Coturnix japonica: one gene and its partner. The protein of the gene in region 1 purifies or fractionates together with the protein of each later gene. This does not show direct contact. Links are inferred from orthologs where the notes say so. Each region holds a gene or a part of one and is shown in the gene's direction. Other genes may lie near its edges.

Region 1 (10,110 bases):
GACAGGTCATTTATCCTGAAACACTTGGAAATGTGACAGCACAAAAGTGCAGAGTTATGTTTTGAGTCTAGACAAGATAAATCAGGGCATAGAGACCCCAAAACACTCTCCCATTACATAAGCAGGCTCAAACATAAGACATCATTCAAAACCAACATCATTTAATTCTTCCCTCTTCAGGACGGGAACAGAGCAGACACTCCTGGGGTTACATGAGCAAGCAGAAAGAGGGGTAAGGGACTAACCGAGCTAGGAAATCCCAGCTAAACATGCAGGCAATAGAACCACTCTACTCAAGACAGCCCAGATCTGGGTGGGTAGAAGAGCGTAGTCCTCCTGAGTCATGGAGGTGCTGTCCACGCAGCTGTGCAGAACTGCAACCCAAAGGACAGTCCAGGAAAGCAAAACAAAACTAAGTCTTATCCTGGCTGTTCTGTTCCTTTCCTAAGAGGCAGCAGGCTGCTGCAGCCCTATGCAGCCCTGAAAGTAGTGAAGGAAGCAAGTCCGAAACTGTGCAATTACAGGGTCAATGCATTGGCTTTGGCTGTTGTGTTTAATACAGCATTGGAAACAACTGGAATGTCTCTGGCAACTCTCTGAAATGGTGGCATGTTGGGTCCTTCTAATGTGTCCAGGATACCTGCAGGAAACAGGAGGAAGAGGAGAGTGGCAAGAGTTAGTTCAGAAGCAGGTGCTGTGTTTCTTCTTGCTTTTCTCTCTGGCCAGTGAGTGGCAGAACTCAGGACATGGAGGCAATGGGAGGAGACATCTTGCCCCTCAAGAATAAGCAGCAATAAACACCTCCAACCAGAGACTGCAGCATGCAGACCAGAGTTTATCCTTGGGACAGGGGAACATAGATCCTTTCTCTTTGAGGGAGCTAAATCCAGCCCCTTGTCATTTGACCTGAAGAAAGACGCTGCTAGGGGCTCTCCTCTGCCAAGGCAGCCTGGCAGGTCATTTCCCCGCTTCACTCCAGCACATACCCTCCTCTTAGAGCAACTGTTTGCTTTCACCTTGAGATACACCTGCAAGGCTTATATCAGAATTACAGTTGGAAGTGCAATATGGAATTTTTATCACTGCACTGCAAACAGACCATATTTGGCAGGAAATGCAGATGCTGATGGAAGTGTTCTCCAGTTCCTGTCAATTACCCTCTCAAGACTGATCATCAGTCACGGAGATCCTTGGAGAAAATTGCTTGGAGTATATTCTCACATATTTCATTTGCTGAGAAGTTGCATATTAGGGCTGAGAACGTTGGCCATGAATAGGGAGCCAGGAAAGAACAGTGTTTAGCTCCAAGAGGACTTGTGATGCTGTGCCAAAATTATGCAGGTTTCAATCTAATAATTTGTTAGGAGAAAATCAACAAAACACAAAGACCACCCAAATCTGTATAACCTGGTAAAAAGTACTGACTGCAGAGGATGCAGCTTTTGCTGTCTGTGTTGTACAACTTAAGATAATAAAGGTGTTAGGTAAAGAAGGAAGGACTTTCATGATACGTTTCCTGATCAGAGTAAAGCAGCCTGATTTTAGCAAGGATCAGGAAGGGACTGGATAACTGCATAAGAGAAGCAGTCACTGCTTCAACGCTTGACTTGTGGGGAAAGCCTGCTTGCAGCTTGTCTTAAGTACGAGAACTGCATACAGAGACTACCCCACATCAACATGCTGACCTGCTTTGACACCTTCTGCTAACTATGGTAGTGCAGTCACGCTTGGGCCTGGAACTGGCCCAGATGCCCTTAGGTCAGTTCCAAACTGCCTGTCCTTTCTCTCTGAGAAAGGAAGAAGCACCACCTCCTCCTGCCCCACATCAAAGAGGTACTGCCATCATGTTTCCCTTGCTTACCTTCTACCACCTTGTGATAAGCAAAGTGCAGATAGAGGAGGAAAAGCATATGCAGAGCAGCAAGAGTTCCACACAGGATGAGCCGCTGGGTGTGCCCCACCGTGCGTGACACCAGCACAGCAACCTAGGAGAGAAGTGGAGATTTAAGGGATGGGAGAGCTGCAATATCAGCCTCTGGCACTGCAGTCAGGAGTACACAGGAGGATGGGCTAAGCAGAGAGCCAGTGGGAACACTGCTCAGAGCCTTCCTCACAGTTGGCACTAGGAAATCTGACTGTTTTGGGTAGATGAATCTTGCCCAGTTTCACTCAGTGTTAAGGGGGCTCAGCAAGTATCTCTGGAGCAGCGGGGGACATAAGACAGCAGGCTTCCTGCAGCTGTTAGAATGGGTGAGGACAGTAAGCCAGGCCACACACTAATAGCCAAATGGCCCAGAAGCATCAGGCTTTCTTTAAGCACCCTACCCAGCTGTGGAATCACTTGACTGGCCCAAGGAACAGAAAGCAAGAAACACTTCCCTCTGGGCTGCCAGTCACTTACCATTCGCAGTGTAGAGAGTCCACCAACGACTAACCAGAAAACATAGAAGAGGGAATGGAAGTGGATATTATAGGTGACAAGCAGAGTGATGCAGTGTCCAAAAAGGCCATAGCCCTGGCAAAACAAACACATCCATGTTACAGTTGTCACTTGCACACAAAAGGTTGTTGAGCAACAAACAGCCAATGCTTGCAATGTTTCAGCAAGGCACTACTTTGCAGACTGCACACTCCGTGCTAGAATGTCAACCAGCACAACAGATTTAACAGGAGCTCACACCCAGCTCATCTGTCAGAAGGATTCACAGGACTGTTGGAGATTGCATCAATCTAGGAAATGCAAGGAAAAAAGCCTCTGATCCCAGAAAAATGAGAATCTCCCCAAGAGGAAACTTGCAAGCACTAACAGCTGCTCTGTGCCATCTCTGTGTCTGGGACAGATCAGGTCCAAAGATCATCCCGGATTCCAAGTTGTCCCTGTGCAACAAGGTTATGGTCATCTGGGACCACTCATTTACAAAGATGTTTCCAGCTCTCTGGGAAGAGCTCACAGGTTACCCTCCCCTCTGGAACACCACGCAGCCAGCATCCATCCTGGGGCAGCCCCATCCGTACATACCAACAGCGACAGCATCTGCACCATCGTGATTTGGGCATTGCACAGATATGCCAGGAAATAGATGAAAGAGGAGACTCCCAACCAGTAACCAAAGCAGGTGCCAATGGCTGTGCCCATCAGTGTGCCTTCCCTCTGTGGAGACAGCAGCAGGACAGAGAGAACTCAGAGCAAGGGCCTGCCAGCACCTGAGTTTCACTGCAGAGCACCCAGAGCCTTTCATACATGTATACAAACAGCTGGCTTAACAGCAGGCAGGTTGCCCCACGACCTACACCCCATCTCTCCCAGCTACAGAGCATTGGGACTTTCTGATGCAACTTTCCTCCCCTCTCCAAAACCAAAAGGATCTTCCTCAGATCAAATCTGCTTTTCAGCTCTTGTGATACAGAAGAGGTTTCCTCTCCCTTTCCAGTGTCATTATAGCAATCCCAAACCCGGTCAAAGCACAAATGAATCACTGAGACTCGCCATACAATGATAGTGTCCGAGGTCTTCATCCCATGCAACAGGATGGCCACCAGCGTGAAGACCAGCATGAGGGGTCCGTAAAGCTCACCTGCAATCTTCTACATGTAAAGAGAGAGATGAGGCTTAGTTAGTGCTCCTGTCTTCCAGGCTCTCCACCCTGAGAGACATAACGAGCATCTTGGAGACTTTTATCACCCGAGGAGCATCTGCAAGGCCACTGCTGACAGAAGCCACACAGAACAGACTGTGATGAGTCAGAGTGGTGTTCAACAGGATGCAGAAATGGGCAAAGTGAGGTCTAGAGTTCTACAACTGTACCAGCGTTAAGGGTAGCAGGAAGGTAAAGGCAGCGCTGGCACAGGCTGTGCAGGGCAGCGGTCACAGCAGTGAGCTGGCTGGAGTTGAAGAAGCATCCGGACAATGATCTCAGCTATATGGTCTGATTTATGGGTGGTGCTGTATGGAGCCAGGTGAGCCTTATGAGTCCCTTCCAACTCAGGATGTTCTATGATTACAATTCTATGAGAATGGGGTTTGGAACAACCATAGGAAAGGGTTTACTGATACTTTGAGGGAGGTGAACATCTAACAGACTTGGATCCTTAATAACAGGCTAATTACATCTGAGGGGTCTCTGTGGAACAGTCACTCAGGCTGTGGGGTCTGGTTCAGTGAGAGAGAACTCACCTGTGGGAAACTGATCATCTTGACGGGCACCATGGACTCCAGCAACCTGCATTACGGCACAGCGGGGAACGACATCAGGACAGTCATTAAGAAGCAACAGATCCCGTGCACCCGCTGCCCTGCCCACCTGGTGCGCACTTGGACGGGCTCCACGTCGAAGTATGGCCGCAGGATGTCGATGTTGGCGTAGAGGCTGAACGCTTTGGACGCCTGTCGCTTCCCCACCTGCCACATCTGCGGACAGAACGGTACGTGCAGCGGCGGGGCCGGGGCCGGCGGGGCTGTTGGCGGCTCGTGAGCCCACTCACCTGGTCGGCCACCTGCCGGCCCAGCTGCCCCTGCAGCCCCTTCATGCCCAGGAACTCGCCGTCCTCTTCCCCGCCGGCCCCCGCCTCGCCCTCCGCCTCCTCGTCCTCCTCCTCCTTCATGCGCTGGTGCATCTCCCCCATGTCCTCGAAGCTGGAGCCCGACGTGTCGTCCATGTTCTCCATGTCGATGACGGCCGAGCCGCCGCCCTGCTCCGATGCACGGATCGTCAGCGCCCGCTCGGGCCCCTCTGTCCCCCCCCCCGCGGGCCGGCCCCACCTGCACGTTGTCCTCAAAGCCGCCCCACTCGGCGGTGCCGCTCCTGCCGCCCGCCGCGGCCATAGCGCCGGTAACGGGGGACGGCAACGCGGATGTGACGGTCCGGCCGCTCCGTGTCTCGCGAGAGCCGTCAGTTCCGCATGGCCGCCTTACGTGCGGCGGGGCGGGGCGGCGGCGCGTCCTTCCGTCGGCGATGGCGGCCCGGCGCGGCACGGACGAGATGCGGGAGCGCGTGGTGCTGGGCGAGTTCGGCGTCCGCAACGTGCGTGGGGCGGCGGGACGCGGGGCGGCTCCCGCATCACCCCCCGCTGCCTCACGGGCTGCGCCCCCCGCAGGTCCACACCACTGACTTCCCAGGCAACTACCCCGGGTACGACGACGCGTGGGACCAGCGGCGCTTCGAGGAGGTGAGTGGGAGCTGATGGAGATGATGGAGCTGATGGAGCTGCTGCTGCGGGGCCCCTTGTTCGGCTCCGTCGTGACGCGGCGCGGTTCCCGAGCAGGGGTTCCGCGTGGACGTGGTGCGGGAGGAGGACGGCGTGCTCGAGTTCGACATGGTGGGCATCGACGCGGCCATCGCCAACGCGTTCCGCCGCATCCTGCTCGCTGAGGTACCGCGGGGCTGGGAGACATGACGAGTGGATGGTCCCCGTGCGGTGCCCTGCTTGGCGGCTTATCGCCTCGCTCTGTCGTCCCCCCGAGGTGCCGACCATGGCTGTGGAAAAGGTGTTTGTGTACAACAACACGTCCATCGTGCAGGACGAGATCCTGGCGCACCGACTGGGCCTTATCCCCATCCGGGCCGACCCGCGGCTCTTTGAGTACAGGAATCAAGGTGAGGGGCTCGGGTCGAACAGCGGTGGGGAGGGTGGAGCCCATAACCAGGAGCTGGGGTCACACCGTAGGATCATGAAGGCCATCAGGTCCAACGATCCCACAACATACAGGGACTCCTACATCTGACCAGGTGCTCAGAGTCCTGCCCAGCCTGGCCTTGTAAGTCTGCAAGGACAGGGCATCAGCCGCATCTCTGGGCAGCCTGTTCCAGTGCCTCACCACCCTCATTTTCACCACTCTCACTCAGTAATAGACTTTTTCTTTATCTCTAAAGTAAATCTACCCTCTTTAAGCCTCAAACCGTTTCCCCTTCTCCTATCACAGCAGACCCTGCTGTAGAGTCTGTCCCTTTCTTTCTTGCATGCTCTTCCTAGGTGCAGAAAGGCCGCTTCCAGGTCTCCCTGCAGCTTTCTCTTCTCTAGGCTGAGCAGCCCCAGCTCTCAACCCATCCTCGTAGGAGAGATGTTCCATCACTGGGTCATTCATGTGTCCCTCCCCTGGATACACTTCAACAAAGCAGAATTCACTTCCATAAAGATACTGTTTTGCCATTTCCAGGAGATGAAGAGGGGACGGAAATTGATACTCTGCAGTTCCAGCTGAAAATAAAATGCAGCCGGAATCCTCAGGCAGCCAAGGAATCGTCTGACCCAAACGAGCTGTATTTCAATCACAAAGGTGAGAGCTCCTTGTGCCTGCCCTAAAAGTAGGTGCAGCTTTCTGCTTTTTCTCTTGTTCATTTTCTTCTTTCTCTCTCTTGGTGTTTTGCCTTGTGAGCAGAGACAGCTCATTTCCTCACAGTATACATAGCTTGCTTGTGCCATCTCCTATTCAGGTCAGCAACCTGTTTTCTGAGGCAGCAGCTGGCTGATGCTCGTGGTTTCTTTTGGCAGTGTACAGTAAGCACATGACATGGGTTCCCTTGGGGAATCAGACAGACCTCTTTCCGGATGCTGACTTCCGACCTGTCCACGACGACATCCTTATAGCACTGTTGAGACCTGGGCAGGAAATAGATGTGCTCATGCACTGCGTCAAGGGTGTAGGTGAGTGCTGGGTCTGAGCTGGGGAGTGGGTGTGCTGGTGCTTGGACTCGAGCACAGCTGTGTGATGGGAAACACTGGAGAACTAGCTTGACCCCAAGGCCTGTCCTCATCCTTAATTCTGAACTCTTTGTGCAGGTAAAGATCATGCCAAGTTTTCTCCTGTGGCCACAGCTAGTTATCGACTGCTTCCTGACATCACTCTCCTGCAGCCTATCGAGGATGAGGCAGCCGAGACGTTACAGAAGTGCTTTTCCCCTGGAGTCATTGAGATCCAGAACGTCAAGGGTACTTTCTTTCCAGCTGTAAAGTGCCTCGTTCCTAACAAGTCTTAGCAGTGACTGAATAGAGACAGTAGAGATTGTAGTCAAACCTTGTTGGGAAAATAACACATTGCGATGTTGTCTTGCTGATCAACAACAGTTGGTGCTGTTTTGAGCCTGGTTGTAGTGGCTGAGTGGCTGTCACACACAAATGTTTTTAGCAGTGAACTGAGATCTCCCTGAAATGCTTATGTGTTGCATGCCTGTCTGTAGAGCCCTGTGCTACTGTTAGGTGTCTGGGTAGCGAGCTTGCTCTTTGTAACAGCTGAGCACGGGGAGGACTTGTGTCCTGCCCAGGAGCACATACAGGCTTTGTGTTTGGCTTAGAACTGTTCGAGGAAATGAATTCTGCCAAGCTGGAGTTTCATGTTAGGGATGTGCTAATTATATGTGGCTTTGCTGCCTCTGCTGCTTGAGGGGTAAGTACTTTTTGTGACCCCAAGGTGCTCATCTGCTGCCGGTGCCCACCTTGTTTTGTCTTCTCCTTTTAGGAAAGAAGGTGGCAAGAGTAGCCAACGCACGGTTGGACACGTTCAGCAGGGAAGTCTTCCGACACGAGGGTCTGAAAAACCTGGTGCGCCTGGCCAGGGTGCGAAATCATTACATCTGTAAGTAGCCTGTTTTGTGCAGAGCAGAGTGCCCAGCCCGATTCTGCTTTGTACAAACAAGCAGGGGCTGGCCAGTGTGCATACCTTGGTCTCAGTCTTTCCCTTCTACTTGGCATCGTTATTCTTCCTATGTTTGTATTCCTCTGGGGAGCTACTGAGATAGTGGTTTGGTGCAGCTTTGGGGTAGGATGTGTTTGTGCTTCTTGCTGGCTTATTTCTTTCAGCTGCAAAGGTCTGGCTTGCTGGAAGTGCAGCATAAGGGAAGATGAGGAGCAAACGCTGGAGCCAGCCGCAGGCTGAAGCAGCGCAATGGCCGTGCTGACTTCTGTCTCTGTGCAGTTTCAGTGGAGTCGACAGGTATCTTGCCTCCAGACGTGCTGGTGACTGAAGCCATCAAGATACTGATGGGAAAGTGTCAGCGTTTCCTGAATGAACTGGATGCTGTGCCAATGGAGTGAGTGAGCTGTACAACCAAGAACCCTGTGCTGCTGTTTTGGGCTTCTTGCTCTGGCCGGCAGGAGTGGTTCTTCTGCCCTAGGCATGAATTTGGAGATGGATTTTTTTAAGAGCCCTGGGACCATCTCTTTGTTTCGTGTGTGATGAGCCTCAGTGAGGAGATGCACTGAAATAAAAGCTTGCTTTTACCTCTGCCTGCTTCTGTGCAGTTAACAACTGTGAGACTGTACCATACAAAAATAAAGTGGCAGCAGGGCTGAAGCCAAGTAATACTTGTTTTAGAATGCAGGCAGTGTGTGAAGAGGACCAGTAAGGCACTGTAGTAAAGCTCTTAGCAGCAGGCCCATGAGAACTGAAGTCACTGTCAGTTTATGTCTGTTTTGAAGATGTCTCAGTGTGGTAGCTGGGTTGTCTTATAGTACTGGGCTTCTTTGTGTAGTAGGGATGGTGGGGTTTAAATACGTGCTCTAGAATCCACAGGGGGGATTTGAACCTGGGCCTCCGTGTTGCAAGCGGCACTTCTACCACTGTGCCACCGGGGCATTCATTGGCTGCACTTTCTTTCTGGCAGCTGGAGCGAGGAAGGCTGAATACAAACAAAGTCATGACACCGTGGGTATGAAACTGGAATAGCTTTACTGACATTCAGAGGTGTAACACAACTGGTTCAGAGACAGCTTTAAACATTCCTACAAAAAAAAAAAAGGCTCTAAAAACCATTTAAAAAAACCCCTTGTGTCTAGCATGAAGTCACAGAATGTTAAAAACCTCACAACACAATAAATACACCCAGCCTTTGCTAAGAGCCAGGAGCCACGTCAGCTCAGAGGTTCAAAATGTCTGAGGCCAGGAGGGAAGTAGAGGGTGCAGGTGGAACAGCAGGGGCAGGAGGGTGTGTAGATTCCCAAGGCACACTCATCTTTTCTGCATTCTAACCCCCTTCCATCCCAAACTTTTCAGTCCCGTCTGTCCTCGCAGGATTTATTGGTTCTTCTTGATGGCAAAATGAGCTGAGCCTCGCAGCTCCTGTGCCAGCATAAGCGTATGCTGAATGAACCATTTGTCATGTCAAGAAGAGCCAACTTTGCAAACCGGAGTCACCTCATCTGACACCTTGTTTCTGTTCTGGCTGTTCCCTGTAAGCTGCAGTATAACCCCCACTCCTCCTGCCCCGCTGCATTACCTCTGAGAAGTACCAGGCTGGGTGAAACTCCTGTCGCCTCCACAGCAAGAGGGTGAGGAGATCCCATTTGTTTTGCAGGTGCTTCAGGTATTGGTCCAGATTTTGTGTACCCTGCACTGGCCATCATCAGGGCGTGGTAAAAACAAAACGAAACAAAACATCTGTCCTGCTCCCCCTTAAGGATATCCAAGAAAAGCTAGCACAGAGTCAAAGCCTTTCGTTTGGCTATGGGTAGAACAAGTATGATCGTATATATATACATATGTATGTATATATATGTGTGATGGTGCCTGCCTCCCACAGAGGAGCTGCACCTTAAGAAGACTGATCTCAAGGAGATCCTAGAGCACTGCAAGGCTTCCTTGGCACGCAGCCCTCAGCCCAGCATCCTGGAAGAGAATGGATCCATTAGAACACGAGTCCAGTAGAGACAAGCATGATAGGCATGACAGCAGTGCCTGATGGATCCTCTGCAAAGCCTGGCTACCAGCACCTGGAGAAAGATGATGGTAGCCCCTTTTCACAAGCTGCACTATACCTTGCACTAATCCTAAACCCCAAAGGATGAAGAAGTGGAGACCCAAGGCTATAGGATGACCATGTTTTACCTAACAGTCTATGGGCTCAGCTCCCACCTTGCAGAGACAAAGGTCTAAAGATGCTCATCCAGTGTAGGGGAGGGGAAGGAATAAGAGAAAGCTTAACAGACTGGATCAGATGCCACCACAGACCCCATCCCATTGTAGGGAGGAGGATGGGACCGGACCTGTAAGGGGCTTTATTGAGACAAACGCTCGTAGAGGTGGTGACAAGGAGAATCTAGTGTGGTTACTATGAGAAGAGATGAAATACAAAATAGGGAAGGAGATGGCTGCAGCATCCCAGGCTCAGGGTTCAAAGA
Region 2 (10,078 bases), about 14 Mb from region 1:
TTAGTGAGGTGGATCCCCCCTCTTTTAAGGAAATGTTGGTCCTCAAGCAAGATCCTGTAATCATAGAAACTAAAACCCTGTTGTCAAAAGCTCCACAACCAATTGCTGGTGTATAACATCAGTCCCCTCTTCACAACCTATTCCTTCAGCAGCAGGACTGAGGAAGGTTCCCATGGTCCACGCCTGCATGTTGGGAGTATTCTGTAGGGCCAATTTTGTCCAGTTAAAGCCATCAGCACTTTCAGATCACTGACCAAGACTGCCCTGATCCTTCCAGCCGACCTCTACTGAGCACTCGCAGTCAGATGAGGTAAGCAGAGTAATTGGAATATATTTGATACACTTAATTGATAAGATGATCCCTACTTAATACAATTCTACACATTCCAGTCTTTGGGTTTTCTACCTCAGCTCTACCTTAAGCTCTCCTGAGCTTAAGTGTTTTTGCCTTTAATAATTATTCCTATTTGAGCTTTTTTAACCCTACTAACTCTTAATGCTGCCTTAAGGTATTTAACATTAGATCAAAATATTCAAAGTAGTCACCTGTTAGAGAAATACATGCCAGGAGTTGAATTACTATGTTATTATATTGATTCTCAGTTACCTTAAAGCAGGAGTTGGTCTGGGGCCGCAATTGTGGATCTATTGGTGACTCACACACAATGCAGGTGGGTGTATTCATTGGCACGAGATGTCTGCATTCAAGACATGGTGCCATCTGAAAGAAAATACATCACATCTTATTAAGGAGATCAATGAGATTATCATGAGATCATTAATGATATTGTGACAGTTTGTCACAATATTGCGATATTTTCTGTATCTTGCTAATTAAAGCTGATATCAGCAGCAAAGTCAGCAGACTGACAGCAAAAACTAAAAGCTGACACAGATCACAGAGAATGCTTTGCTGATACACGTGCCAGAAAGGTGCTAAGTTGCATTTCAGTAGGTTTAAATCTGCCATAACGTGTGTGTAGGTAGCTCAAGTCATTGTAACTATGAACCTAAACTAAAGAGGTGCTGCATATTTTCAGTTATCTAATGAAACTACAGCATTGCCTCAGACAAGGCATCTTTCTAAGGATACAGGGGAAAAAAAACCAACAAACACCATCAACTCATTAGAGATAAGGTTATTATCTCCTGGGAAGAGCTTAGGGAAGACAGTTGCAGACATCACTGTAGAAACTCAGGGTGTTCTGACATACACACATATACCACTGTTTACATCTTCAGGCATATCAGATGGATCTTCTACAGCTATGGCATAGCTACTAGTTACTAACTAACTGACCTCACTAGTTAGCACTGATATAAGATGCATATGCAGCTCCTGAAGAATCGGTCCTTGTTGCAGGATGAGGAGGAATCTGAATTTGGTGATGTTTCCTGGCACAAGTGAATAAAATACAATTTACTTTTATAAAGTTGCCCTTAGTAAAATATGTGGCACCTGCAGCAATCCAGTTAATTTTGCCCTCCATTAAATAACTACTTTGGTTCTGCTGCTGAAATTACTAAATGAAATAAAAAAAAATAAGAACTTCTCAAATGAAAGAGTGACTACACGATGAATACGGACTTTGCTGAGGAAGTTCCTCCAAAGAGGATTCATTGTGTTATGTTCTTTTGCTGACCTGTGCTCGTTCAGGGGATGGGAAGCGATGCACTGGCACGGGTGGGATAGGAGAGCCGCATTCCTGGCAGAAGTGAGCCAAGGGGTCAGACAGGCGGGGTGCGGAGCAGTACGAACATCTGGAAACAACAGCAAGCTGGCTCAACTCGTTTTGGCAATGTACTGGTGCATAACAAGGAAAAATCTGGAATCATCTGTGACTGGACTTAGACCGCCGATGTCTAAATTGTGGTTCCTAGTCTACAGTGGCTCACCAGGCCATTCCCCAGCGTCCTATGCAGGAGACTGAACAAGGAAGAGCTTGGCAAGGTGGAAGCTCCCTGGCTGCTGCTACAAAGTTTCATGATTTTTACTCACCATGTAAGGTCTACTGAGAGGTGAGCTCTGTCACCTACTGTATCTCTTTTGCTTTCTTTATTTCTAGCAGAGTCTCACAGCATTATCAACTCGCTTGTTGGAAGTAACTGCTCTGTTTCTTTCTACAGAACAAAGATGTCAGTAGCAGTCATTTACCTGAGGAAATCTCTCTCCCTCTGGATCCTTGCCACCTGTGTGCTTGTTAAGCTCTTCCGGCTGGTCACTGCAGAACTGGCAAACTGAAATGAAGGTAATACTTTTGCATTAATTACTGTTTGCCAAATGCATACAAGATGCACATACATGCATCGAGCTAATTCAAATAAAGACATGTTATTTGAGACAAAGTGCATAGAAATGTATTGCTTTAAGGAATATCTAATACATCTCCCATTAGCTGCAGTAGTGACCGAGAGATTCTGCAATTCAAAATAATTGTCTTATCAAAGGCAGCATGATTAAATGGTAGGTCTAAATGTTTGTTAATTGCAGTTTCTGTAATGTGTTAGAAAAGGATTTCTAACAATGCAGGTATTGGTAATTTTTCGTACCTGGTTTTGTCTTTACTTTTTAAGCATGTCTTTACCCATAACCTTAAATCAGTCCTGTATAGTACAGCCAAAGGCAGTGGTTTCTGAGAGATTATATAAAAATGACGACAGAGTTTCACATCTTTCTCTTTTCTGGACAGACTTGTACAGTTTTCCTCCATGCCCCTTTCCTTGCCTGTGAGGACTCCATTGGTAGTACTGAGGATTCCTCTCCGTACCCTGCTGTTCCCAAAGGGCTGGTCAGGAGCTGTGGTCCTTGCAGGGACTTGTGATCAGTCTTTCTTTCTGTTTCTAAAACCAAAAATGTGTTATTCTCTATATTCTAATGAATTTGCAGTCCCATCAGTTTAATGTCATTTTCTAGCACAAATGCAGATGCAGACTGGGCCTTGTTATGTTGCTTAGAAATGAATTATTTTGTTGTTGTTGTTCTTAATAAGCAGGCTGGTAAGTATAGAAGGCAATTTTTGTTCCCTGCTTGCAGTGCTGAGAAATGGAAATTGGACTCCTCAGAAGATGTTTTGACTTCTGAGATGTTTTTTAGATTCCCCTGTATTTTAATGATGACATAAGATGAAAACTTTGCACTGTATTCTCAGCTAACAAAAAAACCCAAAGTCTGTTCTGACTTCCTGCAGTAATACCATACCTTGAACATCCCGGGGTGTTTCAGTCCAGGCAGGCTTGATTTCCACACCCATTCCATTTTGCCTTGGTTTTGTAGTAAATGTTCCATCTTCCTTCTCCTAAGAAGTGATTTCATTTGGATTACTTAGGATTGCTTGTTTTTGCTCTAATCCTTCCTATAGTTATAGGAAGCTATAGTTATTTGTTACGATTTTAAAGGCATATCATTGAGGTATTTCTTTTCATTGTAAGCATTTGAAAAGCTTGGAGGATAAATGTATTTTAAATATATTTGACCTGAATTGATCATGACAGAGCAGTGAGTAAAGAAAGAAGACGTGTTCCCTTAAAATTTCACTTTATAAAAAGGGCCAAGGCTGCAAAGATGAGCAACAGGGAAAATAAAATACATAAAAAATGCAGGCAGTCAAGGTTTAATCTCTAAGCACTATCATACACACAACCTTCTGTATTCAGACAAGAGATTGCAACTGCTACAACTTGCCTGTGTTGTGACATCTTTTAGGAACTTCTTGTCATCATCTTCCATAGAGAAGAGGCCGTTTGGTTGCTTGTACTCTACTAGAAACACCTTTGTCACAACAGCACTCTCCCTGCAGTCCCTGGAAGTCAATGATCACAAAGTTCTGAACATGCCATAAAACCACATGCAATGAAAAGGAAACCACGGGGGAACACGGTTGATCGTCTGGAACATCTCTTCCAAGTTTGCAAGTCATTACTTCAGTGAGTAAGCACAGTCCTGGGAAATACTCTCAAAAACCTCTGCTTTGTTTTGTTATTATGTTTAAGTTAGTGTGCACACTAAGAAGTTAACAGTAAAACATACGGATGGATACTTTAATTCTTCAACATCTTTTACCTGTGAAACTAACTCCTGATGCTGCTGTGTCTGCTTTCTGGAGTAATTAGTTTGCCAGCATTGCAGGCAACAAAGGGCAGTCAAGCAGCAGACAGCACACTGTCAATTTGATATATCAACTGTCCTTCTCTTATCTACCTTCTCTACCTTCTCACTTGCTAAATTACAGCAGTAACATTAAAATGCCACAAATGTACAAGCTATTAATTAAGAATTTGCTTTCATTCCAGAGCATCAATTTGGTGCACCTGGAAATGTCTTAATAAAACACTGGAAAGAACTGTTAATTCAGATAGTGATATATGAAAATACCTTCAGACCTAGGGTTTGCATGTCCTGCACAGGGAATATAATGTTGTCATATTCCAATGCAGATACAAGCAAAGGCTACATGCAGGTGCTAATAGTGGGGAACAGATTCCCAGCTGGACTGGGGATTCCTTGTGTGTTCTTCTAACCATGAAGTTAAGATGTCCATTCTAAAACAGAACTAAGTTAAAGCAGGATACTTACTTGGTAACTGCAAGAGCCTTGACTGTTATTTTCCCGACTGGTAACGTGATAGGACTCTTATACTTAAAAGTGTTACGCTCTCCATAGCCAGGCTTCCTAAAAAGTTCTGGTTTACTTCCATCTAAAGTGTAATAAATAGAGACCTCAGGTGTATCTGAACAACACAGAGAAAGTAATTAGCCAAACTGTGCAGGAGCTGGAAAAAAACACAAATATCTGTACAACCCTGCAGATACTCAGCACTGTGTGAGTACTTGACTTTCTCACATAAGCACAATGAAGCAATTGCATAAAAGTTCAGAACCAAAACCGTTTCTCCCATGAAGAACTGACACTGAATGGCTGCGATGTCACGATTAGCAATATTTCTCTTCATAAAGTCACCGCACGGTGGTTTTGCAGGAAAACACTGTTCTACCAACAGATAAACCATCTCCTCTGATGGCAGGTGGAGTTCCTGAGGCCAGTTACCTGCAGCCAACACGGAGGCTGGAAGGCTCAAACGCTTTGAGAGGAGGTTTGACAGAGGCAAAGCCGCAGCCCGTACCTGACTTGATTTCCACCCGGGTGCCGCTGTCGATGCGGTGCTTGGCCTGCCCTGGAACAGGGACCCGGAGCGGAATGAGCTGCGGCACAGACACGGAGCCCGCCGCCATCCTGCTCTGCGATCCCTGAAACACAACAACAACAGCAACCACAACAACAACCACAACCACCACAAAGCAGGCGGTGTCGACAAAGCCCACGCGTCCCGTTACTCGGCAACCGGCACCGGCGCGTACAAATAACGTCATCTCAACGTGCCGCTCAGTAACCGATCCCCTCCGCTCCTGGTGACGGCATCTCCCCGCGCAGCCCGGCCCGCCGCCATGGCGGAGGTGAAGGTGAAGCCGGAGGTGCCCGACCCCGTGGACATAGAGAGCAGGTGCGTTGGGACGGGCCCTGGCCCGAAATCATCGGGAGAGGCTTCGTGGTGCTGGGGAGGCGGGGAGCGGTGGGTCCTGGTGGGTCCTGGTGCGTTGATGTTGAGAGCAGCCCAAAAGTGAAGTGGAGCAGCAGCGCTGTCAGAAAGAGCTGAGAAGTGGTTCTTCCTGAGCTGCTCTTTCCTTTCCGTCCCTGCTCTGATGGCCTTTCAGGTGGCTGGTTTTGTGCACAACGGCCTTTGGTTCATAAACCGCCTCATTCCTCCCCCAGGATCATTGAGCTGTGCCAGCAGTTCCCTCACGGCATCACAGACCAGGTGATCCAGAATGACATGCCGCACATGGAGGCCCAGCAGCGAGCCATGGCCATCAACAGGCTGCTCTCCATGGTACGACGTTCCACACCCCTTCGAGCTGCTTCATCCTGAGGCTCTTGATGTCAATGGGCTGTTGTCAATGGCTGCGTGGTGGCACCCAGCTGGGCAGGGCTGGGAAGTTCATCTTGGATTTAGTGTCATTTGCCAGAACTGGCAGTTTTTGCAGCTTAATTGTGGTTCTCACTTGTGACCACCACAACCACTTATAACGGTCACCATCATCTATTAAAACATACCTCAAAATGTAGTTTCCATTCTGTAAGATAAAGTTAACACCTGTTGTGTGAGTGAGCAGCCTCCATGAGGCATCCTCAAACTTGGCTGACACTTTTCCAGTTATCTACAGAACTGAGAACATAACCAACAAAATAAGAGCCCTCATCTCTTCCACTTGTGGAATTGTTCAGTGTTCCTGTCCAGCAGAGCTCTCACTTGATATCTGGATGCTCATATGAATGAGCACTTTGGTGGGAAGTATACAAGAGCTCCATGTCCCAAGGTGAACGTTAGGAGAAACAACGGGAAGTGCACCAGTGTTGTGGGGAGAGGCTGGAGCTGTGTTTGTTATTTCTGACAGCTAATGATAAATGCATGGTCAGAGGGGAAGAATAATATCCTCAGGGTTATTGTTGTGTCTAGCAGTTAGAAATGTTGTTTTTCCCTTTTCTGTATTCAGCTGATACAAAGTACATTTATTTTCTTTACAAGTTAAGGAGATTTTCTTGCCGTGTTCTGAAAAGAAGCTGTTAGAAGGGAAGTTAATGTGCTGTGCCTGTTTCCCACAGGGGCAACTGGACCTTCTCAGGAGCAGCACAGGTCTCCTGTATAGAATCAAAGAGTCTCAAAATGCAAGGTGAGCCTTGTGCTTACGCAATCAATATCTGAATGCGGTTCTGCAGCTGATGTGCGGCGTTGCTGAGAACACAGCAAGGAATTTAACATGGGCTCTGTAACAAAGATATTACAGAATTTACTTGCTTGATACGCTTAACCCCCCTGAGCCAATTCTGTCAACTGTTGTATGATTCCTGCTGCACAGACTCTCCCATGGGGCTCCAGCTGTAGCTTACTAGTGGAATTCTTCATCTGGCAAAGTGATCTCTATGAGCAGATGCGAATGCTCAGATGAAAGCCAGCTGAAGCTTGACCACACCATCTATAAGTATCGTTCTGTGGTCTTTTCCAGCACTTACAGCAGTTCCAGAAGGCCGCTTGATATGTTGTTTGTGCTCTTTTATTTGATTTATTAAAACATGCCTTCAATAAAGTCGTGTTTTGCGATGTCTGTGTGGAGCTGAGTAGGAGATGCCTGGATTTACTTCTAGAAAGAAACGTCCTTCAAAATTATCTTCCATGCAGGCATCTCAACTTCTCTTTCCACTGCATTAGAAAAAAACCTTCTAAGCTGAGGCTTTCTGAGACCAGTGAGAAGGCACGTTGTAGAGCCTCTGCTGTCCCCTTGTTGCGACAGTTGGTCCTGAATTATGTGCTGAGTGTTTGACCTTATGCAGTTGTGTTAATATGTGACTCCAAACTTCTCTTTGTTAAGAGAAGTTGAGTGTTTCCTGCTTACCCTCATTTTTAATGACTAATATTATTTTTTTTTTCAACTGTGCTGTTTTCTCTTTACTGTGGCTTTTCACTGGCAATCGCAGAATGATCCACAGAGGTTTGGTGTCATGTATTTTATTTGCCACTGGCTGGTTTATTGTGTGGGGCTTCTTTTTCCCTTTGTGTGTTGTGGTTTCTGTTCATAGTATTTGTTTTTGGTTTAAAATAAATCCACCCTCTTTCAAACTTCAAACTTACCCCAAAAAATCCCGTTGTCTCTTCTACTCCACAGTAAAATGAAAGGCTCTGACAATCAAGAGAAGCTGGTTTACCAAATCATAGAAGATGCAGGCAACAAAGGTAGTTTAAATAAATTATAATGGGGAATGGTAATAGCTTTGTTTGTGGAACTTTTCCTGTCCAAACGTTTAAATTCTTGTCCAGGCAATGCAGATATCAGATATAGAGCACGCCTAAGTCTGTAGCTAATGTTCCACGTGCCACTTATTAAAAACAGAGGAAGACATATTTCTCTATTAAAATAACAAATTATCTGGTCTGACCTTTTGGGACCTCTTTCAAAATATGAAGTTTCAGAATATGAATTATGGCTTATTGATGGGACTGTGAAACTGGGGAATCTATACAAAATACTCATCACTTTAAAAACAAAATTCTGTGTCTCCTGGATCTCCTGTGAGGCCAAATGTTGTGTACATGTAAGAGCTCCCAGAGATACAGATGGTGACTGTGCTGTGAGGTTTTTCTTCTGCTTTGTCAGTTGATTTTTATTTCATCCTCTTTTTCCCATTCCCTCCCTTTTGCTGAGGGTGGTAGGATTGGAGATGCAGCCTTTGGCTGGCAGGCAACATTATGACTTTTGGCTTGTTAATCCTTACAGAAACAAATACCTGGTTCTCCTAATTAATTCTGTTCATTTCTGTGCTTCTTTAACAGGTATTTGGAGCAGGGACATCAGATACAAAAGTAATTTGCCTTTAACGGAGATCAACAAGATATTGAAAAACTTGGAAAGCAAGAAACTAATTAAAGCAGTGAAATCTGTGGCAGTGAGTAATTTTTGACTTGTTGCTTTTTAACATTTCCAAATGTTTGCTACATGCTGTACATGTTTGAACGTGGAACAGGGAGCAGAGAAACCTTGTTCTGCCTCCAGCTTTGTCACTGCATGTGGACCAACATTTTACTCTTAACATTTACAATGTATGTTTGAGCTGTACCAGATCCAAGAGGCTGTCATGTTTGATAAGTAATAAACATACTATAGCAAACAAATTAATAATATAAGTAATAAATACACCGCCATTAATATACTGTTCTATTACCATTCATACTGCTGTTATATCTTACGTACAAATAGTCCACATGCGAGAGTAGGGCTTATTTTTTTCAGTACTTTTGTTATTCTGTTGTAATGCTTATGCAGCATCCTGCTCTGCCTTACCTGCTTCATTACAAATCATTGGCATGTGCATATTATTTGGGCACTCTCCTGGTTTCTAGCTCAGGGCTTGTTGCATACTAGCAATGTGTGTCCATCTTATCTAGGAGCTGTACACATCAATCCAGCTGACTCAAGTTATCATTACTGTGCCTTAGATTTTACCTTCATCTATTCAGAGCCATGTACTTTCTCTACCAGGCATCCAAGAAGAAGGTGTATATGCTGTATAACCTGCAGCCTGACCGATCGGTGACTGGTGGGGCCTGGTACAGTGACCAGGACTTTGAGTCTGAATTTGTGGAGGTGTTAAATCAGCAGTGTTTTAAATTTCTACAGAGTAAGGTAAGTGCCACTACTAAACTGATCCTTCATTTGTATTTGCAAATAAATCTTTTATTTCTAAAGCCAATGACAGACAAGGCTTCAGTTTTCCATGGTACTTCCTGTGAGTGTTACACTTTTTTGTAACCTTTGCAGTGAGTGGATCCTTCCTTCTCCAAACTGCAGTGACATCTCAGAAATGGTTTACAAAACAGCACTTTGCACTCTGCCCTAAACTGAGCTGTGAAGAAAGCTCTGTCACTGAGTGCTGACTGCAACTTGTCTTTGTGGTTTTCTTCCTCAGGCAGAAGCGGCTCGAGAGAGCAAACAGAACCCTGTGATACAGAGGAACAGCTCATTTGCCTCCTCCCATGAGGTGTGGAAATACATCTGTGAGCTGGGTATCAGTAAGGTCAGCATCAATTCATCTTTCTGCTCAGAATTGTCAGTACATGATTAGCTGCAGGAGTTGGGTCGTGCAAGTTTGGTGAGTGCTCTAGTTCCCTGCAGTTACTGCAGTGGAGGTGGACTTTGTTGCTTTGTTGCTTTTTGAGGATTGCCAGTGGTGCTGTATGGGATTCCAGGATAGTCTGTATGCGTGGGCCATTGTTGGTCACTACCAACAGGCTTCAGTACTCTTGTCCTTTTCTTCCACAACTGTTTTGTTGTAGGACAAGAAATATATCGTGCTGAGATAATATAGACACTTGAGGTGCATAGGAAAATTCTTTTGCGCTAGTAAAGGTTAATGTAGTCCAAGAAAAAGTCCAAGAAGTCTTGGGACTTTTCTTTTTGTATCTACACAACCCTATCAAGTGCCCAGTTAAGAGCTGTACCTGTAATGTGGGACAAGTTAGAAGGGCTCCTG

What was found. Proteins that work in one complex are often made in the same cells at the same time.
Region 2: the proteins of POLR1C (region 1) and POLR3F purify together in Homo sapiens (affinity purification with mass spectrometry; 4 studies listed by BioGRID and IntAct, counting the BioPlex papers as one, with this or other methods). This does not show direct contact. The link is inferred for Coturnix japonica from reciprocal best matches to the Homo sapiens genes POLR1C and POLR3F.

The regions. Positions count from the first base shown.
Region 1 is NC_029518.1:27,796,383-27,806,492, reverse strand, and holds POLR1C (DNA-directed RNA polymerases I and III subunit RPAC1), read left to right. Parts: upstream 1-4,909; 5' UTR 4,910-4,952; coding exon 4,953-5,021; intron 5,022-5,094; coding exon 5,095-5,166; intron 5,167-5,262; coding exon 5,263-5,370; intron 5,371-5,461; coding exon 5,462-5,594; intron 5,595-6,154; coding exon 6,155-6,274; intron 6,275-6,489; coding exon 6,490-6,642; intron 6,643-6,777; coding exon 6,778-6,927; intron 6,928-7,453; coding exon 7,454-7,570; intron 7,571-7,794; coding exon of another isoform or gene 7,795-7,829; exon of another isoform or gene 7,830-7,909; coding exon 7,910-8,028; 3' UTR 8,029-8,218; downstream 8,219-10,110. Other genes in the region: protein YIPF3, read right to left, coding at 519-640, 1,862-1,985, 2,402-2,515, 3,020-3,151, 3,493-3,585, 4,175-4,220, 4,302-4,408, 4,483-4,689 and 1 more; XPO5 (exportin-5), read right to left, coding at 10,097-10,110. UniProt on the Homo sapiens protein: DNA-dependent RNA polymerase catalyzes the transcription of DNA into RNA using the four ribonucleoside triphosphates as substrates.
Region 2 is NC_029518.1:13,400,950-13,411,027, reverse strand, and holds the start of POLR3F (DNA-directed RNA polymerase III subunit RPC6), read left to right. Parts: upstream 1-5,345; 5' UTR 5,346-5,442; coding exon 5,443-5,498; intron 5,499-5,767; coding exon 5,768-5,885; intron 5,886-6,658; coding exon 6,659-6,726; intron 6,727-7,716; coding exon 7,717-7,784; intron 7,785-8,381; coding exon 8,382-8,494; intron 8,495-9,087; coding exon 9,088-9,231; intron 9,232-9,514; coding exon 9,515-9,622; intron 9,623-10,078. UniProt on the Homo sapiens protein: DNA-dependent RNA polymerase catalyzes the transcription of DNA into RNA using the four ribonucleoside triphosphates as substrates.